Linked DNA regions of Saccharomyces cerevisiae S288C. The protein of the gene in region 1 interacts with the protein of each later gene in a biochemical or structural test. Each region holds a gene or a part of one and is shown in the gene's direction. Other genes may lie near its edges.

What was found. Proteins that work in one complex are often made in the same cells at the same time.
Region 2: the proteins of XRS2 (region 1) and SAE2 form a complex in vitro, tested with the Saccharomyces cerevisiae proteins (3 studies listed by BioGRID, with this or other methods).
Region 3: the proteins of XRS2 (region 1) and LIF1 form a complex in vitro, tested with the Saccharomyces cerevisiae proteins (one study listed by BioGRID).

What each region holds. Positions count from the first base shown.
Region 1 is NC_001136.10:1,213,048-1,221,831, reverse strand, and holds XRS2 (Xrs2p), read left to right. Parts: upstream 1-4,251; coding exon 4,252-6,816; downstream 6,817-8,784. Other genes in the region: VPS74 (Vps74p), read left to right, coding at 1-720; CTS2 (putative chitinase), read right to left, coding at 884-2,419; DXO1 (Dxo1p), read left to right, coding at 2,722-4,050; trifunctional aldehyde reductase/carbonyl reductase (NADPH)/glucose 1-dehydrogenase (NADP(+)) YPR1, read right to left, coding at 6,990-7,928; KEI1 (Kei1p), read right to left, coding at 8,218-8,784. UniProt on the Saccharomyces cerevisiae protein: Component of the MRN complex, which plays a central role in double-strand break (DSB) repair, DNA recombination, maintenance of telomere integrity and meiosis.
Region 2 is NC_001139.9:170,923-176,020, reverse strand, and holds SAE2 (ssDNA endodeoxyribonuclease SAE2), read left to right. Parts: upstream 1-1,698; coding exon 1,699-2,736; downstream 2,737-5,098. Other genes in the region: chromatin-binding exonuclease XRN1, read left to right, coding at 1-494; BUD13 (Bud13p), read right to left, coding at 676-1,476; YGL176C (uncharacterized protein), read left to right, coding at 2,942-4,606. UniProt on the Saccharomyces cerevisiae protein: Endonuclease that cooperates with the MRX complex in processing meiotic and mitotic double-strand breaks by allowing the endonucleolytic removal of SPO11 from the break sites and ensuring both resection and intrachromosomal association of the broken ends.
Region 3 is NC_001139.9:341,753-346,946, forward strand, and holds LIF1 (Lif1p), read left to right. Parts: upstream 1-1,566; coding exon 1,567-2,832; downstream 2,833-5,194. Other genes in the region: nucleocytoplasmic transporter NUP145, read left to right, coding at 1-107; NBP35 (Fe-S cluster-binding ATPase), read right to left, coding at 304-1,290; MF(ALPHA)2 (Mf(Alpha)2p), read right to left, coding at 3,039-3,401; YGL088W (uncharacterized protein), read left to right, coding at 4,084-4,449; E2 ubiquitin-conjugating protein MMS2, read right to left, coding at 4,654-5,056, 5,142-5,152. UniProt on the Saccharomyces cerevisiae protein: Involved in non-homologous repair of DNA double-strand breaks. Stabilizes DNL4.

The sequences.
Region 1 (8,784 bases):
AGAGGTAAAATCAGAATCTTAGATGATTCCGCCAGGAAAAGGTTCGATCTTTCCGAAAGGTTGATTGAAGTTATTGACAGTTCCAAAACTGGGGAAGTTTTACTGGATGAAACTTTGCAATTGATGAAAAACGACGAACCTTTGTCAATTTCTAACTGGATTGATCTTTTAAGTGGTGAAACATGGAACCTTTTAAAGATCAACTATCAATTGAAACAAGTAAGGGAAAGATTGGCAAAAGGTTTGGTCGATAAAGGTGTATTGAGAACAGAAATGAAAAATTTCTTTTTGTTTGACATGGCGACACACCCCATTGCAGACGCCAGCTGCAAAGAAGCCATTAAGCGCAGAGTACTTTCTGTACTCGTATCGAGGAACATGGAATTAAGTTACAATGAATATTTTCCGGAGACAACATCTTTCAAAATCATTAGAACTTTAGCTTTAATATGTGGATCATATGGGGCAAACGTATTGGAGAATGTCCTGACTACGTTGGAATATGAGAAGAGAGATAAGGCAATTAGTAGAGCTGAAGAAATAATGGCACAATTTTCGCAATACCCATTTGATTTAGAAAAGGAAACTGAGTTAGGTGTCTCCGTTAATTTAAACAAGGAAGTTAAAGAAGAGATAGAAAACAATCCTGGTCATGATTTACAATTGGAAGTTATTGCTGGTGTATTTGAAGTCTTTTCAAGAATGGATATGCTATTATGAAAATAACAACAAAAATCCTCTCTTTGAAACATAAGGAAAAGTCAAGCTTTTTTTTATAAGCCTCTAACATTAATAAACGAAATTTGTATATATGTATATACATATACGGAGTGGATAATAAATAGACCAAACTTTTTGTTATTATATACGCCCACATTCGTATTCATTGCTTTCTTGAATCCAAATGCTTTAAATATGGAGATAAAAATCCGCCATCGCCATATTTATTCAAGTAATATTTTTTAACTCTCACATCTTGAAATATTGATGGTTTTGATGACACATTAAAGTGCAAGCCTTCATTAAATGCGTTTATCAACGACCTTGACTCATTTGCATAAGCTTCACCACATGACTCCCACCAAAAGCCTCCGCCTAAATTGTTATGTGTCACATATTCAGCCTTAGTTTTGACTGATTTAGTGTTATCATAACTGATAAATATTGAATTTTTTTCATCAAAGCAATATGCTGAAACATATTTTGGATCGTATTGTTCTATTGTACCAATCTTTGGTAAATTTTTGTAAGGCCAGATGCCCTCCTTGCCATCAGCTTTATCTATTTCTTTAGTGGGCTTGCCCACTCCTTTGAAAATTTTGTTAATTAATACAGTATTTTGATTGAATGGTTCGAATTTGTTATCTTTGATATGGAAACTTCTTCCGTAGGCGGCCATTCCCAGTACTAATTTTCTAGAATTGACGCCAAATCTATCGATCATATAATGCATGGCAAAGTTTCCATTCAATTCCGTCTCACTGAATAGATTGCTGTGATATCCTGTTGTTTCTGACCACGAGCCATAATAATCGTACGTCATCATATTCCAGTAGTCAACATATTGATCAATTTCTGTGATTGGCAAGTAAAATAATTTATCCTTGAATGCAGGTGCCGCAATAGATAATTGAAAATGATCTTCAGTACGTTTCCCAAATATTTGGGATTCGAGGCTGTTTAGTTTTAATCGCAGCATTCTGACCAGTTTCAGATATCCGCGAGGTTCTGATTCATTGTTACCAGGGAACTCCCAGTCTAGATCAATGCCATCAAATCCTAATCTGAACATTGTTTCCACCGACGAATCAACAAAATTTTGTAAGAGTTTATCATCTTTAATTATGATTTTGAAATTTTCACTATCAGACCAGCCCCCAATTGACATGATAACTTTAAATTTCTTATCAGAACAGGTATTCTTCAAATAAAATAGTTCACCAATGCAACCTAAGGGTAGGATGTTTTGGACACTATTGTTCGAGCTTTCTTTAATTAGTTCTGAATTTTTAATTGCCAGCGATTTATACAAATTCATTTCTAGATCAGACCAACTATCCGTGTTTTCTATACCACCAGTTCTAGAGTTTATTTTGAAAAATGCATAGTAAATGTGAGACACTTGCTTCAAGTTTATGTCGTGAGGGAAATGAAACCTCGGTTTGTATGGGGACCAATTGGAATAATAGACCCCTGATATAAAGGCTTCGTCTCTTATATGGGTTCCATGATTTTGGACATTACTGGGAACTCGATGTCCGCCATTGTTAAAGTTGTCTCTAATATCATCCGACCTTTGGTTCTTAAAAATTTTATTATATAAACACATTTCAATAATAATCGTTATAAAGATAAGTAGTATTAGTAGGTGAGACACTAAGCTGCTTTTTGATCTGTGCTGAGCTGAGTGTCCTACCATATGATCACTCTTGTATCGTCTACTTATAGAGGTTGTTAGTACCAACCTGCAAATACAATTGTTGGACCATACTACCACAAAAGGTTCTTTTCGTTGGTGTATCCTCACAAATAATGATTATTCCACCAAAATCACCAAATTATTGTGTCAAACTAACTGGGATTACCCCACTATTGATTTTTCCAGTTTTTCCGCAATTTTCGCAGCATGTTTTACTTTTATAATGGCATTGTTGCATTACAGCGCCAGTTGTAGGTATCGATGATTTTATGTCAAAGTTTTCTTTCTAGCCAAACTCAGTTATGTCAACTGAACAAGATGCTGTTCTTGGATTGGCCAAAGATTTAGAAGGTATAAATTTGCTTACTGTGCCCAATCTCGAGAGAGGACACCAAAGTAAATTATGCAAAGAGAAAACTACTTCTGATTCATCTTCGTCAAGGAAGCCTTCACAACAGAGAGACAATTATAGAAAGAGACGTCCGAAACTTATATGTATCCCATATACGTCTTTTCTGCATACTGGTATGCACAATTTTTTGACGAAACCACCAAGAGATATATTTCATGAAAGTAAAGAAGTAGCTCTGTTTACCAATGGCCGGGCTTATACAATCCTACGCAAAGACCTTATACCAAATTTGAAAGAAAGTATTGCTGAATTGTATGAAAGCTCGCTTCTTGAGGCAAAAAAGCGGAAAGTCCCGTATTTAGGCCATGACTTATTTGCTAATATTGATGAGTTCGTTCCCATGACAATATCCGAATTAGATAGTGTATCACCGTGTTTTTCATACATTGAGAACTGGATACTAGATAATCCTGGTAAGGATTTTAAGATCGGCAAGAAATTTACTGTTGTAACCACAAGACATCATATCGTAGATTTGACTATGCATCTCTTTAACAGGCGAAATAGACAAACGTCACTAATTGTAACTTATATGGGGGCGGGCCTTCTTTCATTTTGCAGAAATGTAAAAAAAGATTCTCAAATGTCCAAAGAGGGCATTTATTCAAATGATCCAAATATGAAGAAAATTTGCTATTCAGGATTTGAATTTGAAAATTGGGTAACCGAAAATTCCAAAGTCGCTGATTTAACTGGCTCTAAATGTCCTATTTTTTCTCTTGTAGAGAGTAAACTTTCAGAAGAAATTGGTCTTTTAATTCGCTGCGAAATGGATGCATTCAATCCTGTTTCGGAGACAAACACAGAACTAAAGTGTTTTGCCCCATTATCAATGCACAATTCCAATCATAGGAGAAAACTTCTGAAAACGTGGGTACAGACGGGTTTATTACCGAACTCAGATATCATGATAGGTTTGAGGGACAGTCATAGCGGTCAATTACTAGACATTCAATGGTACTCAAGGGACTTATTATGTAAGAAATTCAATCACCCAGGTCTACCTACAAATAAAAAGGAACTTAACTATAATGCCCAAATTGCGGTAGAATGGTGTCATTATTGTATTGAAGCAATTTGTAAGCTGGTGGAGGCAAATATCTCTGACTATAGCAGTACAAAACCAGAATCATTTGAAATCGGTATAGATACTAACAACGCCATCGTCATCACTAAACTTAAGACTACTCCAAGAAACGTAGAATTATTTGGAATGTAGAGACGTGTATAATATATAATACTTTTCCGAGAAATATTTCATTTTCATTTTCGTAAAGTTGTTAACTACGCTAAATATTAGTACTTTTCTTAAATTTATATGGGGAGCCCTTTTTTTCTATGAAAAGCAATGCGTAAACCAAATAAGCAGAATTTTGTAATAGATGAGCAACAATACTGAGAAGGTGATAACTATAAATTTATGTGGGTAGTACGATACCAGAATACATTGGAAGATGGCTCTATTAGCTTTATATCATGTTGTCTTCAGGCCTTCAAAACTTATAGTATAGGTAGATCAAGTAAAAACCCACTGATAATTAAAAATGATAAAAGTATTTCCAGACAGCATATCACATTCAAATGGGAAATCAATAATAGTTCGGATCTGAAACACAGTAGCCTGTGTTTAGTTAACAAGGGTAAATTGACATCATTAAATAAAAAATTCATGAAAGTTGGCGAAACATTTACTATTAATGCCTCGGACGTTTTAAAGTCCACAATAATTGAACTGGGTACAACTCCTATTCGTATAGAGTTCGAATGGATAAATGAAGTCTGGAACATTCCTCCTCATTTGACACAATTCAGGACGATGCTTTCTGAATATGGTATCTCCACTGAGATTTCTATTAATGATATTCCCGCTAATCTGATGATTAGCGATTACCCAAAGAGCGAGGACAACAGCATACGGGAATTGTATGCCCTTGTTAGTACTATACCCATGAAAAAATCACGGTTTCTGATGGAATTGTGTAATACTCTTCTTCCCACATCTAAAACTAATTTAAAATTTGATGAAATGTGGAACGATATGATTAGTAATCCGGAGTACAATGTTTTTGATTTTGATCCAAATATTTTGCTTTCGAAGTTTATGAGGCTGAATAATATCAGAGTGTTAACTACTATCAAAAGTGAACCACGTCTATCATCTCTCCTGCGGACGTTCAATATAAATTTATTTGCATTTGACAACATTGATAGTTTATATAAATATGTTGACAGCTTGGAAGCATCAACAGAATACCTGATTTTGACAACTACAGATAAGAAAGAAAATGGGAAAATTCTATGTACTATCAAAACGATGTTAACATCAATAATAGATGGCACCTTAAGCGCAGTGATTAATATGAAGGGTGCATCTTCAAGAACTCTAGATAACGGTAAATTTGATCAAATTTCTGAAGGAATGTCTACTATTTTGAAAACATCTCGTGCACCTGAAGTTGAAGCTAGTCCAGTAGTCTCGAAGAAGCGAAAATTAAATAGACGTAGAGTACTACCACTCGATAGTCTTGATTTTTTTGCTGGAGGTTTGAGTACTAAGACTCTATCAGAAAATAGGTCTTTAACTGACGCTAAGAGACTTAATTGTGGCGCAGAATCAAAGACTGTCATTTCAAGTCCCAACATTGCAGAGGCAGATGAAAAGCACGCCCCATTTCTTCAAAACGCACTAAAGCCGACTGAAGATATTGGAAAGAAAAGTGGTCACAGTAGCCCTGGTGCTATAATTGTCAGTAGCCCCAACTTAGGTACTGTGAACACGAGTGAGGATTCGTTGGATAAGTCGCTACAGTCACATAAGTTACCACAGCCGTCATTGCCGGAGGTAGCAGGGATTGGCTCTCAAACCATATCTTCGAACTCCGCTGACTATGAAACAGCTGCTGTGAATTCGATGGATGATGCTGAAGTTACTAAGAATTTTAGGGTGAATCATCACCAGAATATAGAGCAACCCTCTAAAAACATCCGTAAACTTTCTAATTATTCACGAGAAATTTCATCTCCATTACAAGAAAATTGTAAGTCACCTGTAAAAGAGTTATCTATTAAAGAGAAATCTGGTACGCCGCACGCATTTGTTGAAGCTATTCAAGAAACTAAAAATAGAGAGGTCAAAAGAGTTAAGTCAACCATTGTTGAATTGAAGGATGAGGAGTTGAGCGAGGAAGCTATTAATCAGCTAAAAAATTTGGCTATTGTAGAACCTAGTAACAATTTACTGAGGAAATCATTTGATAGTGAGGGAAACAAAACAAGCAGAACAACTGAAAAATGGGAAAATAGCCTAATGGAGCCAGAATGGCATAAACGCAAGAATTTCAAGACTTTTGTCAAGGTACGTCCAAAATCAAAGGCGCACAAAGAAGAGGGTAAAAATAACACTCAAAGCTCAGATTTTATACGAAATGCAGCCTTTTTAATCACTAGAAATTATGTTCCGTTAAAAAAATACTCCAAAAAGGATACAACTACAAAATGGGGCACAGAAGAAAACGAAGATATGTTTGCTTTGACGGAGATGGAAAGATTTGGATCGAATACATTTATGTCCGATAATATAAACTCAAACACTATCCAGAAAAGATCTCAAGCTCTAAACAGATTCACGAATGAGGATAGTTCAAATGAAGGAGAAGAAGATTCGTTTTCTTTTTCTCGTTGTTCAGGTACTGCAGCCAGCGTTCAACCACTAAAAAACAAAATTTTTATTACTGATGAAGATGATCTGGGTGATATTGATGATAAAAGCGATAGACTAAATCACAGAGAAAATAATCGTAATCTTTTTGTGGTGAAGGAAATGAACTTACGGCCAAACTTGTCAGAAGAATGTTCCAAGCAAAGTAGACACAGTAGAAGCGCAACTAGTAGATCACGTGGCTCTTTTGGGGCTTCTAATAACGGTGATGGCGACGACGACGATGACGACGGTCCGAAGTTTACGTTCAAAAGAAGAAAAGGATAATGATAAATTTTCCGAGTATTTCCAATTTCATTAAATTATATTTTGCATTATCATTCGATATATGTGTATATATTATATGAAAATTAGTAAAATCAATGTTTGTTTCAGCTGTATCGGATCGGTTTAAAGAAGCACTACAGGTTGCTGGAGGCATTAACTGTAATGTAGCGCGCTCATTGGAAAATTGGGAAGGATCCCCACTTCATATCAACGACTCTCTTTGTACCATGCACTTTGGATAGGTTACTAATAGTCTTGAAATCATCCTCAGGCAGAGTGAAAATCTTAAAATTGGATACAATTCTTTCAGGATTAACCGATTTGGCCAGAACAACGTAGCCTCTTTGAATACTCCAACTGATAATAAGCTGTGCTGGCTCAACGCCGTGCTTTTTAGCCATATCAATAATTGCTTGCTCTTTTAGTAAAGGAGCATTAGCACTCCCAAATGGTGAGTAGGCTTCAACAACAATACCCTTTTCCTTACAAAAGGCAATCAATTCGTCTTGTGGTAGCAATGGATGAATTTCAATTTGATTAGTAGCTGGTACCACCTTGTTATTTGGAGATTCTAATAATTCTTTAATGTTGTTAATAGAAAAATTAGAGACACCAACGGCTTTAGTTTTGCCCGTCTTTGGCAACTCTTGCATCAACTCCCACGTCTTGATAAAATTCCATTCCTTAGTATCGATGTCAACAGTGCCATCTTCTAATGTTGGAATGCACAGAACGTTACCATCAGTAACTCTGTCGGTTTTCAAAGGCACTGGCCAATGCATCAGATATAGGTCAACATAATCCAAGCCTAGTCTTTTCAAAGACTTGTTTAGAGCAGCTTCCGGATCACGTTGTTCCGTACCCCAAAGCTTAGTAGTAATAAAAATTTCCTCACGAGGGACTCCGGAATCTTTAATAGCCCTGCCAACTTCTTCTTCATTCAAATAGATAGCCGCAGCATCAATGTGTCTGTATCCAGCTTTCAAAGCTGCAATTACAGAATGGTAACCGTTATTGTCAACGGAACGCCAAGTGCCGAAACCCAACACTGGAATGGAGGCACCAGTATTTAGTTTTAATGTAGCAGAAGAATTCTTTAACGTAGCAGGCATGGTAGATTATTATCTGTGGGTATATTTGCGACCTGATTATATTGCAAAGTTACTTTATTATCACTTTAGAAAAGAAAAGGGTTTCACGGAATTGAATTGCAACCAAATAGGGAATTGCGTGCTATATAGTTTCCTTTTTCCTTTTTTTTCAAAATTACGTAAGAGCTACTTAAATACACACGTGATGAAAAGTGACAATAGCATCAGTGAGAATGATTTTATGATGTCAGAATAGAAACATTTCTTCATCAGTGTAAAACGCTATAACGCTAGGGCTTTATTTTACTATTTACTCTAACAAATTCTTACATAGCTTATAACAACCTTTTTGGCTCTTAGCCCACAGTCTTTTCCAAATAGGCTTGTTTTTCAAGTTTTGTTCTACGTCATCCCTATCAACTAAATATTTGGGGTGGTGTAACAATTCTTGAACAAAAGATGCCAAAATGAAGTTAAAGTAGAACCTGAATATCAATGACACCAACGTAATTAAAATAGTCATGGTATATTCGTAGCTTTCAGTTGCACTTTGTTTACTTATATCAATACCACGTTCTGTCAGCTTACCTGTCGATATTGGGTTACTTTGTAGTGCATTATTTCCATCAATATTAGCAGTGTCTTCCAAGGTGAACCATTGCGTGGTAAACCATAGAGTAAAAAAACAAGTGGAAATGGTATCGATTGTATAAAGTACGCAGATTTGCGAAAATACCAGCAAGTTTGGCTTATGAATCAAATACAGCCCTTGTGAGAATACGATTAATGTAAATACCGACCAAAGATATGCTATCCATTGCATAAAATCCAACGGATGACCCGTGAACAATGCTAAAATACCATAAGCACCACTGCA
Region 2 (5,098 bases), on another chromosome or scaffold:
GTATAGGCAGTAATTTGAATATCCCAACTCCACCTCACCCAATGAATGTGGTTGGGGGTCCTATTCCTGGAGCGAATGATGTTGCAGATGTTGGTTTGCCGTACAATATTCCCCCAGGTTTTATGACGCATCCTAATGGTCTTCACCCATTACACCCTCACCAGATGCCTTACCCTAATATGAATGGAATGTCTATTCCGCCACCAGCACCACATGGGTTTGGACAACCGATTTCCTTCCCACCTCCACCTCCTATGACAAATGTTTCAGATCAAGGAAGTCGTATTGTTGTCAATGAAAAGGAAAGCCAAGATTTGAAAAAATTCATTAATGGTAAACAGCACAGCAATGGTTCAACTATTGGGGGAGAAACAAAGAACAGTAGGAAAGGCGAGATTAAACCTTCTTCTGGCACAAACTCTACTGAATGTCAATCGCCAAAGTCACAAAGCAATGCTGCTGACCGTGATAATAAAAAAGACGAATCTACTTAGAACATACGACTAAAAACGAAGTATATTCGAGGTTACTTTAATAGTATATCTGAGACCTATATAAAGAGGGGTATTTGTATTTAATCGTTGATCTTGTTAAGAAAAAGCTTATAACAAATGGGGATTGTCAAAGGGTATTTTTTACACAAAGCTTTCCGCATAGTTATATATTATCTCATTTTCAATAATCCTCCTGTAGGGTGTAGCTTTGCACTTTCTTCTCATTGATCTCATTTTGCTTAGCAAACCATTTTTCTTCAAAGCCATTTGATCTGTGGACACCGTCCCATCTTGACCCAGGCATAATGGCAAACCTGTTCTCAGGTGCTGGCTTATCATAAAGCTTGCGGCCCAGTAAAGATGTTTTTACAGTTCTTTCTTTGTCATGTGTAAATGTTATTGCAGGGTCTTCTATCGTCAGACTCGAGGCAGTTTGATTTTTCTTCTTATCATGTGCATCTACATTTATTCCAAGCTTTTGCACGTCTCCCATATTCAAATTTTTCAGGTATTGCTCTCTTTCCGCGGCTTTCTCATCTTCATATTTAGATCGACTAAAACTAGAATCGTCTATCTTGGAATCTTCCTGAATCTTGTGACCTTGAGCGTCTCTGTATATGGTTTTTCGTGTTTTCGATTTGTCTGCTACTGTGACAAGTGGCTCTTGAGCCCTGATTTCCTTTAGATCGTTCTTGCTTTCGTTGCCAGTAATTGACGATGCGGAAGGATGTGTTATTGCATGGGAAAGCTCGTTTGTTTCCAGGTTCTTCCATATATTCTTGCTTTTTTGTTTGTCAAACTTGCTGAATGAAGCAACTCCTGACTTCTCCTGTTCTTGTTGCAGTGTACTTAGCCGTTCTTTTACTATCAAAGAAGTTTTGTCTGAGTTAGCGTCTGATTTTGACTCTTTCTTCTTCTTTTTCGTCTTATTTTTGGGTTTCGTGGGCCCATAAGTCTCTGATAAATACTGATGCAATGCCATGTAATAAACGTCCTGTTGTTATCTTCCACCATTCGAGTCTTGAGAACAACTTTCAAAATCAAGTCAAATAGCCATTTTCTTTATGCCATTTTCTAAGCGCGTTCTACAAAAAAAAAGCTTTTAAGCTTTAATACCTTTTTTGTTTACGTTTGCAAACATTGTTATCGTTCACATACCTGCATTTCCATCCATGCTGTAAGCCATTAGGTGTTTGTATGTGAGATGGTGACTGGTGAAGAAAATGTGTATCTAAAGTCAAGCTTATCCATTCTCAAGGAGCTCAGTCTCGATGAACTACTAAATGTGCAGTATGACGTGACTACCTTAATCGCGAAACGTGTTCAAGCACTGCAAAATCGGAATAAATGTGTTCTCGAAGAACCTAACAGTAAACTGGCTGAAATTCTATGTCACGAAAAAAATGCTCCTCAACAATCCTCTCAGACGTCTGCGGGGCCAGGTGAGCAAGATTCTGAAGATTTCATCCTTACTCAGTTTGATGAGGACATAAAGAAAGAATCAGCAGAGGTTCACTATCGTAATGAAAATAAACACACTGTGCAGTTACCGCTGGTTACTATGCCACCTAATAGGCATAAACGGAAAATTTCGGAGTTTAGTTCGCCTTTAAATGGCCTCAACAACTTAAGCGATTTGGAAGATTGCTCTGATACTGTAATCCACGAAAAAGATAATGATAAAGAGAACAAAACAAGAAAACTATTGGGAATAGAGCTCGAGAACCCTGAATCTACATCGCCAAATTTATACAAAAATGTTAAGGATAATTTCCTGTTTGACTTCAATACGAACCCTTTAACAAAGCGAGCCTGGATTCTCGAAGACTTTAGACCAAATGAAGATATCGCCCCGGTTAAGAGAGGAAGAAGAAAATTGGAGCGATTTTATGCCCAAGTTGGAAAGCCAGAGGATTCTAAACACAGATCATTGTCAGTAGTTATAGAATCGCAAAATTCGGACTACGAATTTGCGTTTGATAACTTGAGGAATAGATCAAAATCCCCCCCAGGTTTTGGAAGACTGGATTTTCCCTCCACTCAGGAAGGGAACGAGGACAAAAAGAAATCCCAGGAAATCATCAGAAGAAAGACAAAATATAGGTTTTTAATGGCAAGCAATAACAAGATCCCACCGTACGAGAGAGAATATGTATTCAAAAGAGAACAATTAAATCAAATTGTTGACGATGGATGTTTCTTCTGGAGTGATAAATTATTGCAGATATATGCTAGATGTTAAACGCCAGCGATCATCATTCTTTATTCATTACTTCAAATACATTTTTTTTGGTATGGTTGAAAGGGCTTTTTTCCTCGTTGGCATATGGGAAAAACTGAAAAATAAAAAAAGGCAATGAGATGAACAACAATGGAAAACAAAAAAGGGCGAATAAATAAGCAGCAGTTGGTAAAGCAGAAAGGGGAAGTTAACGGACGTTAAACAAATGACACCTAACTTACCAGGGTTTTATTATGATAGAGAACGTCGACGTTATTTTCGCATATCTGAAAATCAAAGCATTTCTACCACGGGAACGACGAACCAGTACAGAAAAGATAATATAAAGCGACAATGTGTTGAGGAAAATTACGATAAAAAATTTTCTATGATTAAAAAAAAACGTCAGCAAACATTACAAAAGTACAAGCTTAGTCTTCTGAATCCGTTGGAAAGGGCTTTTCGCCCTTTATCATATGAAAAGTACATGATTGGTTTAAATATGCAGTATGCATCGCATTCTCTCACTGAAGGTCATCACTCACATAGTTCTGCTAACGTAAAATCACTCAATTTTCCACACAGGATACAGATAGGAGTATTAGCAAATTGTATTTTATTGGTAACTCAAGAAGGATGTTTTCATAGTAAATTAGTATTTGCAACAAACAAGGGCTATGTCGCAGGATTTTCATCCCTGGATAATTTTTCTGAAGAAAATTTCTTTACGGGGTTTTCCATGGCTGAATTAAATCCTATGTTGAAATATAAGTCCGAGCCAACTGATGTGTTCAAAACAATGAAACTTGAGAGAACAGTTGCCATCAAGGAAGGGCCGAGCCATTATTTTTATCACAACGTTAATACCAGATCTAACGTGCATACTTTTGCCATCTTTTTACAAGACTTTTCTTCCTTAAAACTGCTCAAAATTCGTCAGGTCAAACTCAAAGAAAATTGCCAAGTCCATGATTCTCTTGTTGTTGGAGACACGTTGATTATTACCGTAAATTATCGTTGTCATTTTTATGATTTGATTCCAGAAACCTTTCCAAATCCCTATATCTTTTCTCCTGCCAAAAGCTCAAGAAAACACAAAAGTAGGAGTGACATTACTTCCCTATCATTTTGTCTACAAGAAGATGCTTTATCACCTTTAAAAAAAACGAACACCGGTGTGTTTTATTTAGGTTACAGAAATGGTGATTCAATGGCAATAGTCTTCACTAATATTACAAACATGACATTACAGTACTCCAAGACCAACGGTATGACATCAGAAAGTCGAAATCAACCTATCAGAAATTCCCTAAAATCTGTTGTTTCCATAAAAGCATTGAATAATAAAGGCCTAATACTTATATCTGGAATGGCAGACAAAGAGAATGTGCAACAACTGGTTATAGCAGATACGTTCCTGGAGGACATTCTGACCGAAATCCCGGTTGTATCTTTTAAAACTAAGTTCTTAAACGTGACTAAGGATACAGAAATACTCGAGATATCGGATGACGGGCGCTACTTCATTTATGGTTCAACTAGCGCTAGGGACGGAAAGGGTGATTTTGAAGTATTTTGTACCACTTTATCTGGAAATCTTGACTACGAAAAATCCGAAGGTGGAAATATCACCCTCTATCCAATAGGAGGTATGAAGAACTACTGTAGGTTAGAAAACTTCCAGTTTGAATCTATCCACCTACATTCGGCTTTCATACCCCCAAGGTACGTAAATCCGTTTGATGCTGTGGAACCTCTAGGTGAAGAGAGCAGTACTTCACCTTACGATATACCTGAAGAAGCACTTTCTCAAAAAATATGCATCTTAATTCGGAGAGAAGATGATCCCTACAATGGGGCCAATATCTTCATAACATCTGCTTTGACCTAGTTTAGCCCACCGAGATTTTTGCTTTATAAATATTTTAGCATACTTTGCATTCATATACATATTCATATGTATAAATATTCTTTAAATTTTAACGCCGACTTCGAACTAATTAGCAGTCAAAACCCAAATGTAATGACCTTATGGTGTTATAGCATAATTCTTCTTGGTGTACAATTCCATTCTGAATAGTTCAACGATTTTAGATATAGTTAGATATGATATTATAATAAAATATACAAATATGTATCATTGTTAGTACAAGTTAAACCTAAATATAATAAAGCCAACCAAGACAGGAACCAGTAGAAAAATTTATACAAATGACAAAGAAAAACAAACGGTATTTTCCTATTTATTAAAAATGCTTGAGCGAATGGATATTTTAACACATTAGTGTCCTAAAGGACAATTGGATTTGAAAATAAAATGACAGTAATAGACAAAAAGAAAACTGAATGAATGAATGGACGTATGGATTGCTTAATGAATGAA
Region 3 (5,194 bases), on another chromosome or scaffold:
GCGATTCGAAGGCCAAATTGCTTGAGCTCCCCCTAGGGCAGCCAGAAAAGGCATACTTGAGGGGTGAGTTTGCCCAGGATTTAATGAAGTGTACATATAAGATATAAGTTTTTTTATTTTTATTTCTAAAAAAAAGAAAAATAGTAAAACATGGACTGAAGCTAACGCTTTTGGAGTAATTAGTAGCATTATATATGGTAAAAGTGTTCTTCAGTAGGTCTAAGATTTAAAGGTAATGATATTTATATTATAAAACGATTTGACCTCTAATGCACTTCCTTTTATTCTTTTTGATAAAATATACTATACATCCCCCACAGCATCTCGCAGAGCCTCCACAACGTTAAGTACAGCACTCGAAGCTGGGCTGTCAGGATAGTTATCCAGGAAACTTTCACCCATGTCACAACTCTTGCCAATCCTCGGATCTAACGGAACAGACCCCAAAAATTTGATGCCCAATTCCTTACAAAGTGCTTCACCTCCACCTGTGGTAGCCTTGAATATTTGGGACTCTCCTTTGCAATTTGGACATACAAATCCGCTCATATTTTCCACTAGTCCAAGAATATTGATACCAGCCTTCTTACAGAAATCTATCTCTTTCCGTACATCTAATAAAGCTACTTCCTGAGGTGTGGTGACCACAAGGGCACCATCTATGCCAGATTCTCTCATATACTTGTTTATTGAAATGTGCTCATCAGATGTTCCGGGCGGTGTGTCGATTACCAAGTAATCGAGTTTATCCCAATCAACATCCTTTAAAAATTTTTTTATCAATAAATTCTTTTTTGAACCCCTCCATATAATGGCGGAATCGTCTTCTGGAAGCATATATTGAATAGACATGGTGGCTAAATTATCAGTCACATAGACAGGTGTCCAACCGGAGTTCGATTCATGGACGGTTTCTTTAATGCAGCCTAACATATGTGGCAAAGAAGGTCCACATATATCTAAATCCATGGCACCTACTTGTAAATCTTCGTCAGCTGAAAGTGCCCAACTTAGCATTGCGGCAAATGTCGACTTGCCTACGCCACCTTTGCCTGATAAAACCAATATTTTATGTTCTATTCCTGACAAGTTATCTGTGATCAATGGAATATCTGGATCAGGGCCTTTCGGAAGACTTTCACATATTTCTTTATTGGCGCAGCCACCACAAGCATCGGACTTACCTGCCATGTCTGATTCTGGACCAGGACAGTGTTCTGGTTCCGGCTGATTAAGTTCATACTCTGCTGGTAGCACTTCGTCGTTTACATGTGGTAGTATCTCAGTCATTCTTGGATATCACTTATGTATACTGTTGTTCTCAAAAACAGAAAGACTTCACGTTTAGCCTAGCCTACGAGTTGTTGGACAAACATGTTATTTATTATTATATACAAAATATTTCTACGCATTACTAATTACACCATTAATGAATCCGAAAAAGTACCCGGAAGCGTATTTTGAAAAGCCATATTAAAGAATAATAAGATGAACGGCAGTTTTCGACGTGTCAATGCATAGAACTGAGAGAATTGTGCATTGGATGACTTATTTATGTAGGGTGCTATGTCCCAGCTGACGGAGTTCATTAGCTGTATCCCTGTGGTTAATGAAGAACAAAATGAAGAAGATGAGCGTGGCCTCTGTAAGATTCAGATTGAAGATGGCGCTATGTTGGAAACATTAGATGAGAACAGTCTTTCAGGGCTTAGAATAGAGAAAATGTTGGTAAGTGAAGGTACAGGAATTTTTTCCAAAAGCAGTTTTGGAATCAATGATTTGCGAATCTTTACGGGAGAAAATATCGATGAAGAGTCTAAGAAATATGTGTGGTATGAACTACTCAAAATGTTAACTGGTCACAAAGTGTACATTGCATCGTTAGACGAAAAAGTCGTATTCACAAAATGGACGTGCAGAATGCAAGATGATGAGGTATGGAAAGTAGTTATGGAGTTGGAGTCATCGGCGATCATAAGAAAAATCGCTGAACTTACCTTGCATCCAGTCAAAAAGGGAGAGATTGATTTATTTGAAATGGCAGATAAACTCTATAAAGATATCTGTTGTGTTAACGATTCTTACCGGAATATAAAGGAGAGCGATTCTAGCAATAGAAATCGAGTTGAACAGCTGGCTCGGGAAAGGGAGCTATTGGATAAGCTTTTAGAAACACGTGATGAAAGAACCAGAGCAATGATGGTAACCTTGTTGAATGAGAAGAAGAAGAAAATAAGAGAGCTTCATGAGATTCTGCGACAAAATAATATCAAATTGTCTGACGATGATGTTTTAGATTCTGCGCTTATTAATACGGAAGTGCAAAAGCCAATTTCTGAGTTAAACTCTCCAGGAAAAAGAATGAAACGAAGAAAGACGGTAGTAGAGCCTCAAAATTTACAAAAGAAGTTGAAAGACACAAGTCGGAGGAGAGCTAATAGAAAAATATCTAATCAATCCGTGATCAAAATGGAAGACGACGATTTTGATGACTTTCAATTTTTCGGACTTTCTAAAAGGCCAATTATTACTGCTAAAGATAAACTCAGTGAAAAGTACGATGATATTACCTCTTTTGGAGATGACACACAATCAATAAGTTTTGAATCTGATAGTAGCAGTGATGTTCAAAAACATTTAGTGTCTTTAGAAGACAATGGTATTCAAATATCAGCAGGAAGATCGGATGAAGATTACGGAGACATTTCTGGTTCTGAATCTGAGACTGATGCAAGTGCAGGGGAAAAGAAGAGCTCCAACCATAGTGAACAATCCGGTAATGATAGGGAACCTTGCTTGCAGACAGAATCGGAAACGGATATAGAAACATAGCCTATTTATGAATGAATGTAATATATGGCAAAGAGTATTATAGTATCGCATCATTTGAGAGAATACTTTATTTAAATGGCAAAAAATAGTTCTATGTGAGTGATCGAAAACTCAACTACTCAGATTGAAAAGAAAATAAATAAAACTAGGTGTTGTATGAACGTGAAAGAAATCGAGAGGGTTTAGAAGTAGTTTAGGGTCATTTTTCAGTACATTGGTTGGCCTGGCTTGAGTTGCAACCAGTGCCAAGCATCAGCGTTGGCCTCTCTCTTGTACATTGGTTGGCCTGGTCTCAAATTTAACCAGTGCCAAGCGTCGGCAACAGCCTCTCTTTTCGCCAAAGTGGTGTTTTGCTCTTTTTCAGCCGCCTCAGCAATAGTGGTGTTGATAAACAATAGCCCACTGGCGGTAGCGTTACTGAATGGTAAAAAAGCTATGTCATGATCACCTCCGAAATCCAAGTATCCAATAATGGCCTCGGCTGGCACCTGAGCGATATCTTCATCGGAACTAGCAGTGACAGAAACGGCCGCTAAAATAAAAGTGAGAAAGGTAGAAATGAATTTCATTTTCTCCAATATGTGAATTTACTGGAATTTGATGCAGGTGATGGTAGTAATTATCCATTATATAGAATATAAAAACAGATATAGGAAGGACACCTCAAACTACACCAGAATCAAGGACAGCTTTTATACATATAAGCCCTCGTCTCTGCGCTGTAAAGACACCAAGTTTCACTAGGTCCACGGCGACTCTGTACTGAAACAACTGAATATTTGAAACAGTAACGATGAATAGTTTGGCTCGATACCTTGAAAACAATCACTACAGGCGTCGCCCAGATGCGCACATCGTTGCTGGCATTGATGTACCAATGAAGAAATATAAGTGACAAACTTTATGAAAAGATAGAAAGAGGTTTACAAGATAAGAGAAAAATTATGCTGTGAAGATTAGTAATCGAAGTAACTGCTTATTCATTCAGTGCATGTTTTTCTAGGAATGCGTTTGATATGGGACATACATCTTACTATGCGACATTACCTTTTAGGGACATCAATGAGCAAGTGAACACTAGCAAATTAGGAAAACAACTTTAGCACGCCCAACTGCGTACTGAAACGCAGAAAACTATAGAGTTTCCCGAAACGGTGACAGCTGAGTTCGCTCAAATAAGAACAACACCATGTCTTGAAGCTTCTTCTATAGCGTAGAGTAAGTAGTGCCTTGTAGCCCTACCGTTTTACAATGCATGAGGTTACCCGCACTTATTATTTTTTTCTCTTTTTTTTTCTTAGCTATAAAAGGCAGATCAATGCAGCATTCATTGCTTTATTTGACTTTCCTTTACTATTTATTTACTTTCCATTTCTTATTTTAGTGTTATTTTATAACAGTAACGCAAATTTAACAGCCATTCGTAACACGTACAGTATCTCGTCGAGGTTGAACCCCTCCGGGGCGTTCTTGACCCATGAAGAATGTGGATTGGTGTTGCAATATATTTATTATTGGCTTGGACTGGAGAACAAATTTATCGATCTTGGGTGCAACAGTCTTTCTGTCGTCTGTTTTTTAGCAGATCTAAGGGTTTACCTTCGTGTGCCCGGATGAGGACCGTTGCAAGGATTGATAATACAACTATATACATCATTATCGTAGTGAATTGCACGAGTAACTTCTCGGCATGGGGTGAGTAAATTCATATTATGAAAGTAATTAAACTTACTACCTAAATAAGAGGATATCTATGTCTTATTGCTTGTATATATGAGTGGCTTGGAATGCTGCAAATACTGTTTAGGAAAAAGTAGATAACTAAAAGGTTTCTCCTTCCTTCGGTTGACGCAATTTCTTGTTCGCTGGGGTTGCCATTTCCTTTCTAAGATCAAGTAATAAAGTTTCCATGGTGTAGGCTCTTTTCCAGTCACGTAAGGTGTGGAAGTCAGTTTGGACCTCCCCCGTAGTTGGATTGACGCATGGTAGATTTATCTTGGAAATGAAAGTGACCTTTGGGGGAGAATCTGGATAGTTTGGGCCACAATCTATAGAAAGGGAATAGATTCTGTTTTCATGATTACTATGAGGGGGCCCTAAAATAGTGCCGTTCCATTTGGTCATGGTAATATCGTCGCTATCAGCTAAACCATAACTACATGATTCTGGACCAAACCCTTTTTCACCCTTTTCTAATTCTTCTAACAACCTAAAATTTCTTGGTCTGATTTACAATAGGACAGTGAGGGTACATTTCAAGAATTTGTTAGTATATGTTGAAATCCCTTTCAAAACTTATAATAACATACACTTTTGACATTTTTGTGTAAACGCTGCTTTCTTCTACGTTGCATATACAGAA